Saccharomyces cerevisiae S288C: one gene and its partner. Each later gene encodes a partner of the first gene's protein in a complex. Each region holds a gene or a part of one and is shown on either strand. Other genes may lie near its edges.

Region 1 (7,460 bases):
GAGCTCTAATGCAATATTTAGCATTTGAAGGCTGAAAAAGGCCATCCAACCTGTAGAATCAGCCTGTTCAAGCGTACCGCCAGTGGGTAGTGGTTCTGATCTGTTGAAAACGCCAATATTATCAAGACCCAAAAATCCGCCCTCAAAAACATTTTTACCTTCAGTATCCTTTCTGTTGACCCACCATGTAAAATTTAACAAAAGCTTCTGGAAAACTCGTTCTAAAAATGTACGATCTTCACGGTTGTACATGTTTCTTTCGATCTTGAAAACACGATACACAGCCCATGCATGGACTGGTGGATTTACGTCATTGAAGTTCCATTCGTATGCCGGAATTTGACCGTTAGGATGCATGTACCACTCTCTGGTTAATAAATCCAATTGCCGTTTTGCAAATTCTGGATCAATCATAGCTAAAGGAATGCAGTGAAACGCAGTATCCCATGAAGCAAAAAATGGATACTCCCATTTGTCGGGCATTGATAAGATATCTTCGATGTAAAGGTGCTTCCAGTTCTTGTTCCTGCCATTAGCTCTATTAGGGGGAGGGCGAGGCTTAACATTGGCGTCACCATTATACCAAGCATCATATGTAAAATTGTAGAACTGTTTAGTCCATAGCAAACCAGAAAAAGCTTGTCTTTGAAGGTTTCTTAATTCATCACTGATTGGCAAAGGTGTAATCCTCCAGTAGAAGTTATCAGCTTCCTCCTCTCTGTTATCGAAAATCAAATCAAACTCATCTTCATCTACGACAGCCAGGTTTTGTGCCTTAAAGATAGAGTTTTTTGGGTCATTTGTAAATTTGTATCTCACAGTAACATACTCTCCGGGCGGAATATTTTTGAAGTGATATACTGCGCAGGCCTTTGTTCCTTTATTTTCAGGATTTACAGCATCGGTTTTGCCTTGAACAAGATATTCTTCAAAAGCATCCTTTGTGTACTCGGAAGGATTCTTTTCTTCGTTAAATAGTTTTACTAAATTGGACTCATTATCGGTAAATAGCAGCAGAGGATCTATATCTTCTACCTCTTTATCTTCCTCTTCCTCGTTTGTACCGGAAGAGAACCCACCTGGAGATGGCTGAAAGACCATTTGGCAATTACCATATTTCTTGTGAGTCATATTGATTAAGTTCGCTGCTTCTGCATCTCTTTCAAGCAAGGGCTTGTCCTTTGTTCTAGTACCGTCAAAAGCCCAAGTATTTCTGAAGAAAAGTTGGGGAGCTATGTAGAGCTCACCAGAGTCGATTTTACTTCGATTATGTATAGTTAGCCGAAAGTTCAGTTCACTAGGGTTTTCGTCATCCTTTGCCATTTCAAAAAAAACATCGAAATAAGGGTTGTCACCGGTTTCACTATCACGGTATAGCCCATCTATATCGTAAACTTCGAATTCTTTATCCTCGTATCCCCTTTCACCATTCTTTTGCACCAATTCTTTGTATGGAAAGGCCTTTTTAAAGGGATACTTGTATAAAGCTTTCATATATGAATGAGTGGGAGTATTGTCCAGGTAAAAGTACAATTCCTTAACATCCTCACCATGGTTCCCTTGTGGCCCAGTCAACCCGAACAACCTTTCCTTCAATCTTTCATCTTTACCGTTCCACAGAGCGACATTCATACACACCAATTGTTTGTTATCTGAGACACCAAATAATCCATCTTCACCCCAACGGAATACTCTTGCATTGGCATGTTCGAAAGGAAAATTGCTCCAAGCATCACCGTTTAAAGAATAATCTTCACGGACTGTCGCCCAGCTTCTTTCACTCAAGTAGGGACCCCAACGATACCAGTATTTCTCATGATTTCGATTTTCACGCAATCTTTCTTCTTCTACTGTAGAATCTACAAATTTGTCTCTTAGCTTGTTCATTGTTGCTGTTTAGACTTGCTATCTCTTACCAATACAAGGTCTTAACACTAGTAAAAGAATACTTGACAAGACTCTTTAGTTGCACTTTAGAAATTTGGAGGTGCTGAGAAAGCGGTGGATACCAAGGTACGATCGTATAGTATATATATATATATATATTACAGTGTTATCAAACAGGTTTTCTTGGCTTGCCGCTTTTGATCTGGGTTAGCCCCGCAAGATGATGTTTTACCCCTTATTTTTGATCTAGCCTTTTTTTTGTTCAATTGGATCTGAATCGCTAAAGATTTAAACTAAAGAAAGAAGAAGACAGGATAACAATCAATGGATACAACAAATAGGGGCATTCGGAGACACAGAGTATCCATTTTATTTTCTTTTTTCTTCCGGTAGCTGGTCTTACACTTATTCTTGTCAGCAGACGGTGCGCCGCCACTCCCATTGTAACTCTTGTGATGAGCTCTCCTTTCAATGGAAAAGGAACATCACGTGAAGCGAACGCGTATGAAGAGGAAATCAGTTAGTTGATGTTTGTATGGGAATATTGTCTGTTGGAAGTTTATAGAAACAATAATGCGTGTGTATTTATGTATGTTGAGTGCATATATATGTAGGTAGATTGTTTTTTTCTTTTGATTATCATTCCTTAATCGTTATTCTAAAATGAAGACAGCCACAATCTGTAGTTTTGTTGGGCGGCATTGGCATAAAGATCGGTCAATTTATCACACGACTGGGTAGTTTTGGCCGCGACGGCCATGCGACAATCCTGGACGTTATTCATGGCTTGGTGTTTGTAGTTGTTTTCTTGAGGGTTATCTAACGAGAACACAGTCTCGTCCGAGGCAGAACTTGTGTTCAAATCGAACTTCCCGGTGTCTCTCGGTACCACGAAAGGACCATTCAAATTATTATATTTGGCATCTTCCGAAGTATTGAGTGAATAATGCTCACCAAGTGACACATGCTCGGTAAATTGATAATTGGCAAAAGATAAGGGAAACACCTCATCGTCTAAAGGAGTGGCATAGTTTGAAGACATTTCTTGGTTTTATTGTATGTGTTATATGAGAAATTCAATTCTCCTTGTCATTAGTTTGTCTATCTATATATATTAACAAACAGGCTAGTGCTGAATGACTACGGAAAACAAATATTACATGCAAAAATTTTTGACAATAATGAGTAAGAGGCACATGCACTAGAGCATAAAAATTATGAACGTGTCTAGCTACATATATATCAATTAAATTAGTCTATCCGCGTAGCCAAGAAAACGATAACAAAGGGTACTTTACCCACTTGAAGGTGTCATTAACGCTGGTATGATAACCCGCTATCAAGCTGCATAATCTTTCTCCTACTATGCGCGTCTTTTGTTTTCATTTCACGGAATGACTCTTCCGCGGAGATTGGGCCGCGCCAGAAAATTTTTTTTCATCCGCTTCAGTCATTTCTGTCTGTTTTCTGTGCGCACTCTACGCTGATCGCTTGCGGCGGTAAAATTCCCCTGATATCCACCAAGGTGCTGAAAATCGAGCTACGGGGCGCTCTTGGTACGGGAATGGCAACAGAAAGAGCAGCTAGCTCGAACAGCCAGCTCTTTTTGAGGGGGGTAACACGTATGCTGGCAAAGGGCACAGGGTCTTATTACCCCTCCTTTGGTACGGTGGTCACCACAGTAGCAGAAGCGCTCGGATCATCGCTTCCACGTCATGCCCACGTTTCGTTTCCATGCGGAAAAATGCCCTCCTTAACATGACCACTTTGGGGGTTTTTGTATATTGTTTCTTAATTGCTGATTTGTGCAGTATCCTATCGTTCGTTCTTCACCCCTCCCCTTAAACCTTGCTAGCGTTTTGATATTTTTTGTTTCCTGTCACGTTCAATACTACAAATTACACATCTCAATCGGAATCGCGGGCGCAGAGTTTTTCCGATGTTGCCCGTCGCTAATATTTGGCGACTTTTGCACGTGAACGACGTCCCCACAATAAATTTCGCAAGGAGCGGGCGTGCGTTGTTAACGTCATCCGTTAGCGAGACTTTTACGGATATTACTTTTCACCCATGGGGTGTATATGAGAGTTCAGAAGAGGGTGTGGAGAGACAGAATATTACTGTTCTTTTTTTCCAAGATATTGAGCGTTTTTTTAGTTGTTGAGATTTGTTCAAATAAGAGGTAAATATGTCTAATCCATGCCAGAAGGAGGCCTGCGCCATCCAAGGTTTGTAATATTAACTTCAAAAGATTCGATCGTTTTTTTCTTTTCACTAACGTTTTTTCACATTAATTTTAGATTGCCTTCTATCACATCAGTACGATGATGCTAAATGCGCTAAAGTTATAGATCAGCTGTACATCTGCTGCTCAAAATTTTACAATGACAATGGAAAAGATTCACGGTCACCCTGCTGTCCGCTACCTTCGCTTCTTGAGTTGAAGATGAAACAGCGAAAGCTTACACCAGGGGACAGTTGAGGCTTCCAATTGGCCCTTCTTTCTACGTATGTATGAACTAGCAATTGAAAAAAAAAAAAAGGTATGTGCGTGAAGAGAATCTAATCATAAGTACATTATTCGTACTTCCAGGGAAGATCCACTCACTTTCTTTATGAAAAAGAAATATATTTATCTAAGATCAACCGCGAGCACGACAGTGAAATAGTATTAGTACTCCACCGTATAGTAAACGATTAAGTAAACTATATACGTCCACCGCCTAAAAAAACTGTCGAAACAGAATCTCTAAAACCAAGACGAATCGTGACTCTGGGTGTCTATTATAAAAGACATTATTACCCTTTTTCAAAAAACCAAAAAAAGGAAAAGAAAAGATTTTTTAAATACCAATAAAGATTCTTGCACCACAGGAACTTCTTCTAAACTCACCGCTTTATATACCAGAAAAAGATATAACGGTACGAAGAAAAAATAATATTCATACTTTTCGGGTAACACTTATATTGCTTCAGAAAAAAAATGTAGGGTTGGTAACGACTATCAGCTCAGTACATGGGCTTTTTGCATGGCTAGTGGTACTTTACTCTAGGCCCTCTCATGTGTGAAAGTATTGGTGGTTTTTTTTTTGGTGTTATTTTTTCCTAAGTTAAAAAGAAAATATGATATCTATATATATATTACAAAAATCAGTTTTTAGAAACTTAGTGACGACGAGAAGCAGCAATGATGTTGTTCATTTCTTCGACCTTAGCCTTGGCTCTGGTGAAAGAACCCAATCTCTTCTTGGCGACCTTTCTAGCTCTCTTTTCACCAGAGTTTCTTATTAGATCAATCAATCTTCTTTCGTATGGAGACAAACCAGCGATTTCTCTGACCAAAGATCTTACGAACTTGGTTCTGTTGGAAGCAGCACCTTTCTTGTAAGAGATTTTTGGAGCTGGGGTCATGCTAGTGACCTTCTTACCTTTGTTTAAACCAATAGCAATTCCTAAATATAAGGACACAGGTTGTCTTCAGTTAGTAACATGTGAAATAGGCATACATATACACGTGTATATGTGTCGGCGGGAAGTGACGTATAATGTACGGCTTTGTATAGCATCTTTTTGTGATTGTTTTCCATGGCAATTCTTACAATGGTGCAACTACTAAAATGTTCCATTTGAAGGCGTTTTCGCAATACTATTCTTTTTGTAAAATGGACCTCATCTTCAAACACAATAGTTTTTTAGATAGGAGTGAAGAGATAAGCCTGTGTATGCATATTAAATGGTATTTTTCCTCTGGCTATTTCCATTGGTCATTAATCACTCAAAATTATATAATATTCTTGTTTTTGTTTCCTTTTAAGTTTTCAATGCACTCATGTTCTTCTCGTATTTGGGGTAAACCCCTTTATAAGTTCGAAAATCGTCATAACCCGTTCAGTTCCTTGTTTATGTCTCACATACCTGTCTTAACGGTCATTTCTTATTGTGTTTGCTGTCTTTCTTGTTTCTTTGATACTTGTAAATCAGTACTATACTGTTCAACATCCTGAAATCTCTGATTTCAAATAAATTTCATAGGAGCGGAGGCTTCCATTCAGTTGGAATTTAACTTCAAAAAAAAACTGTGAAATGTACGGGTGTAAAACAGTCTAAAAAATGAATTGCCAATTAATGTAGCAAGCATATACGCATCAATAATGTTCAGAATGTGTGCATACCTACATATGTACAAACAGATATGCTTTTTTATATACAGGGGAAAACCAACGATATTTTCGGAATGGCAATTATCTTCTTTATTTCTTCCTTTTATACGGTGATGGTGGATAAGTCGAATTTATGATCCTCTAATCTAGCTAGGATATCCTTGACTGGAACGTCGGCAAATAACTCGACAAATTTTTTGTAGTTCAGGTCCTTCCCTACTGACCTATATTCCAATTTCTCTAAAGGATATAAAAATGACATCAATCTTCTTCTTCCAACTGATATTTTTCTTGGTGAGCCGTTTACTATTTCATCATAGTAAATTTTGGCCTTTTTACCACCAGCCATTTCTATGATAGGTGCATCCTTATGTGGGGGATTCTCTATTTCATCTTTTCTTTTTAAAACCCTATAACGAAGCTTCCATCCGGTCGGCCCTAATTCTTTTATTCTTGCAGATTTTTCCTTTGTTAAATAGTTGTCAATCCCTCCTTCTTTACTGATTGTTTTTAAAACTTTAGCGGTCATTTTGATACTGATTTTTCTGTTCAGAGTCTCACTCCAGAGACCTTTTTTGACAACATTTGGCAACCACTTCTTCCTCGTTTTGGCTTTACTTTCAGAAATATTGTTACCAAACTGAACGAAAGATCCACCATATAGACCTTTGTTACTCTGTTTGAAGATATTAGATTCCCCATACTTGTAATCTGGAAATTTCTTTCTTTCTTTTGGCATATGTAAAGGTTTAGCATCACCAACTTGGTAGTTCGGTTGTTTGGCAATCTTCCTTGTTTCAATCAGTCTCCATTGCCTGAAGTTTTTTACGGAAGAGGTAAAGCCTCTCGTTAATTGGAATGGTCTGAAAATTTTTTGCATATTCTTCTGTGAGCTTTTTCTTCCTTAAACTGATTTTTCTATACCCCTGGGCACTAACTTCTAATAGCTCTAGCTGATCAGCTGTTTTTGGTTTCTCAAATGAATTTCACAAAGCGTGCCCGGATGCGAGAATACGAGATTATTTAATTAAATATAATTGCAGAAAGAGAAGAAGGAAACGTACTAAGCTCAATTTGTCCACAGTATAATCAACAAAATTGCACATTTAATTGTTTTTACTAAAAGTTTAGGAAACCGTTGTCACGATGTAATTAAAATTCTTGAATTCTTGATATGAAGGCTCTTTTCATGATGTGCCACATGAGTACAGCCGATATTTGAGAAACGTAGAATAAAATAAAACGTTAAACGCCAAGATATTTACTGTTGCAAAGTTTAGAATGGTATGGAAAGGGTTACTGTTAACTGCTAACTCGAGTATATATTGTCACGATTGTGGTTCATTATTTCTGCTAGAAGTAATGCTTACTAACAATTTCTCGGTCTTATTTATATCCTAAACACTCTCCTTT
Region 2 (3,025 bases), on another chromosome or scaffold:
GGTTCCCTTGTTTTTGGATCCCTAATATCTTTAGTTAACAATATCTGAGCATTCTTGGGACGGTAAATGAATGGTTTTAGTTTCGCATCTGTCTTGTGGTATATCAAGAATTCATCCAGCTTTGCTTTCGCAATTTCGCCGGTAGATGCAAAACGTCTCCAAACTGTACTTCTGAACATTTTCTTGTTGGTCGTTGCTCGGTGCAATGCCCTTATCAACAGTATTGGTCCCTCATTAATCACCACTGTTATGGTTCCCATTTTCTTAATAAGAAAGGTTTAGCTTTTTTTCAGCACATTTTCTATTACCCTGCATGGTGAGTATCAAATAAGTGCCAATAAATTGGGTATGAATACAACTAAATACATTGACAAAGTGTTCACAACGCATCGAAGCGCTAGACTTGCAAATGTGATGAGGATATATGATATTTTTGGGATATTTTATTTGTTCTTATATATTAAGTAGTTGATGTTGTCACTGACTATACCGAGACCAAATTATTTATCGAGCACATCAGCGTCGTACTTTTGCTTGAACCAAGAGACGGTGTCTTCCTTAGTTGTCTTGTGGGAGTTACCAACAGTACCCTTACATCTCTTTCTTCTAGTGACTCTAGCACCTGGTCTGTTCATGACGACATAGAAATCCATACCGAAAATACCGATGGATGGGTCATACTTGATACCCAAGTCAATGTGTTCGTCAATACCGAAACCGAAGTTACCGGTAGCAGAGAAGTTTCTGTCTCTCAATTGGTATTCCTTGACCTTCAAACCTCTTTCCAAAATTTCTTCAGCCTTTGGACCTCTGACGGTAACGTGAACAGCAATTTTTTCGTTTCTTCTGATACCGAAAGTTCTGACAGTGTATCTGGCCTTGGATTGAACTGGAGTTTGACCAGATAATTGTTCTAAAACCTTGGAGGCTCTGGTTAATCTGTCACCAGATTCACCAACGGAGATGTTCAAGACCAATTTCTCGATCTTCAAATCACGCATAGGGTTTTGGGCTTTAGTAGACATCTTGGACGCGTATTTTTGTATATGTTGGGCTTTCAAGGGTAACTGATGCTAAACGTTATAATACACGAAATGAATGCCTCTCTTAACAGTATACTTCTTTAATGATGAGTTATGTCCAAGTTTCAATTTGGTATCCTAGCTTCGCTATTCGCAGAGCGGGTTCCAAAAGATCTTCGGATAAAAATAAAAAGAAGGCGGTGAAAACAAAAAGAATATTAAAAAAAGTAATGTATGGGTTCTCGTTGTACGGATGTTTAAAATGTCCTGAAAAATACCAATTAGACGGTTCTGTGCTTGTTATATATAGATGTCTATACGACTCAACATATGTATGTTGCTGCATTTTAGAAAAAAATTAGGCATTAAACATTAGGCTACACAGGAAATAATGTTTCCTATCAAAAGAGTTCTAACTTGAATTGTTCCTTCACAATTAAAAAAAATAAAAGAGTACATATTTAGGAGGGGGAAGAGATATTGATAATAGACTAAAGTAAGGAGTGAGGAGAGGGCAAAATACAATAATAGATGAAAAAAAAAATAGGAAAATAAAACAATTTTTTCAGAGTGAGGGAACAGAAATGATTATCTGTCCACGCATTAATTAAAAGAGATTAATTAGTATGGTAACTTGTTCTTTTCTGCTGGTTTTTTTTTTTTTGTTTCTAATAGATTGTTGATTTATTTTGATTAAGCTGTTGTTTGTTGGGGAAGAGACTCACTTTGCTGGTGTCCGACTTGTTCATGTTCTTCAACAGCACCTTCTTCTTCTTGTTCAGGTTCTTCAATTTGTCCATCTTCTTGTTCGTCTTCGGACCACCTGCCTTGACCGTCTTCCTCTTCCTCTTCTTCGCCTTCTTCAGGTTCGAAGTCTTCGTAATCCTGCTTGAAACTTAAAGTAGGCTTGACTTGGGCAGAGTCTAGTGTCCATTCATTCAGTGCGCTTTCAGCATCAATAATGATTTGTTTAGAGGCTTCATACCCATCGTAAGCAGGCCTGGTTTCACCTGGAGTGACAGGAGAGTCGTCCAATAGTTCCAAGAGAGCCTTACCGTAACCAGCGATTAAAGCAATTTTCTCTGAATGTTCGATGATGGAGTCAAATTGGTAGTTGAAAGCAGCTCTCAACTTTGACCTTGTGATATTAGATAATTGAGCTTCAGCGACCAAAGATTCAGCCTCAGCACGCACCAATTCTTGTTCCAAGACCTCAATCTTAGGTGATTGAGGATCTTTGTATTTCAAGTAGGCGATTTTGTCGGTGATCTTGTCCTTACGGTCTCTAGATGGTTGAACAGAACCTTCGATATCTCTGATGGACTTTAGAGTCAATCTGTATTGGTCATAACGATCGATAAATTGGTCGTCTAATTCACTAACTTCATAGATCAAGACACCTAATTTATCAGTGATGTCGGAAACATCGTCATCGTTTTCCAACCCCCAAATAGACAATTGCTTAGCAGCGTCACGTCTTTCGTTGGCTGTCAATTCCATGGACCTCAAAACATTCTTTTCAATCTTAACCAATTGAGACAACTTTCTGGATAATTCTGGGCCAAAAGCTCCAGCAGCACTTCTCCTAAAGCTGTAAGCTAGACCACCCTTCCCAAAGAATCTACCTTTGGTTGTAGATGGTGGTGGCGGTGGGTTCTGTAATTGAGAGGCGGTAGGTGCCCTGGAATTTCTTAAAGAGTAAGTTCTGTGCATACTATATACTTGATGCTGATATATTCTTCACTTTGCAATACTGCTAACAATGGAAAAGTATAGGTAAATAAATGTGCAGATGCAGATGTGAGACAAATTTTCTTTCTTGGGTTGGGATAATCAACGCATTGTACCCAAACGACGGGAAACAAGGAAGGATGCAGAATGAGCACTTGTTATTTATAAAAAGACACGGGAGGGGGAATCCCGTCTTTCGTCCGTCGGAGCCAAAGAGATGAGCCAAAGCAGAAAAACAGGGGACGCCGCCCTTCTTCCGTCCCGTGCGTGAG

What was found. Proteins that work in one complex are often made in the same cells at the same time.
Region 2: RPL36A (region 1) and RPL11B share a complex: the UniProt entries of both Saccharomyces cerevisiae proteins name them as parts of the large ribosomal subunit.

Annotation. Positions count from the first base shown.
Region 1 is NC_001145.3:649,503-656,962, reverse strand, and holds RPL36A (60S ribosomal protein eL36 RPL36A), read right to left. Parts: upstream 5,819-7,460; coding exon 5,803-5,818; intron 5,340-5,802; coding exon 5,053-5,339; downstream 1-5,052. Other genes in the region: YMR196W (uncharacterized protein), read right to left, coding at 1-1,887; ICY1 (Icy1p), read right to left, coding at 2,546-2,929; CMC4 (Cmc4p), read left to right, coding at 4,076-4,115, 4,188-4,369; mitochondrial 54S ribosomal protein bL28m MRPL24, read right to left, coding at 6,151-6,927. UniProt on the Saccharomyces cerevisiae protein: Component of the ribosome, a large ribonucleoprotein complex responsible for the synthesis of proteins in the cell.
Region 2 is NC_001139.9:647,883-650,907, forward strand, and holds RPL11B (60S ribosomal protein uL5 RPL11B), read right to left. Parts: upstream 1,026-3,025; coding exon 501-1,025; downstream 1-500. Other genes in the region: mitochondrial 37S ribosomal protein mS44 MRP13, read right to left, coding at 1-260; lipid-binding protein PIL1, read right to left, coding at 1,716-2,735. UniProt on the Saccharomyces cerevisiae protein: Component of the ribosome, a large ribonucleoprotein complex responsible for the synthesis of proteins in the cell.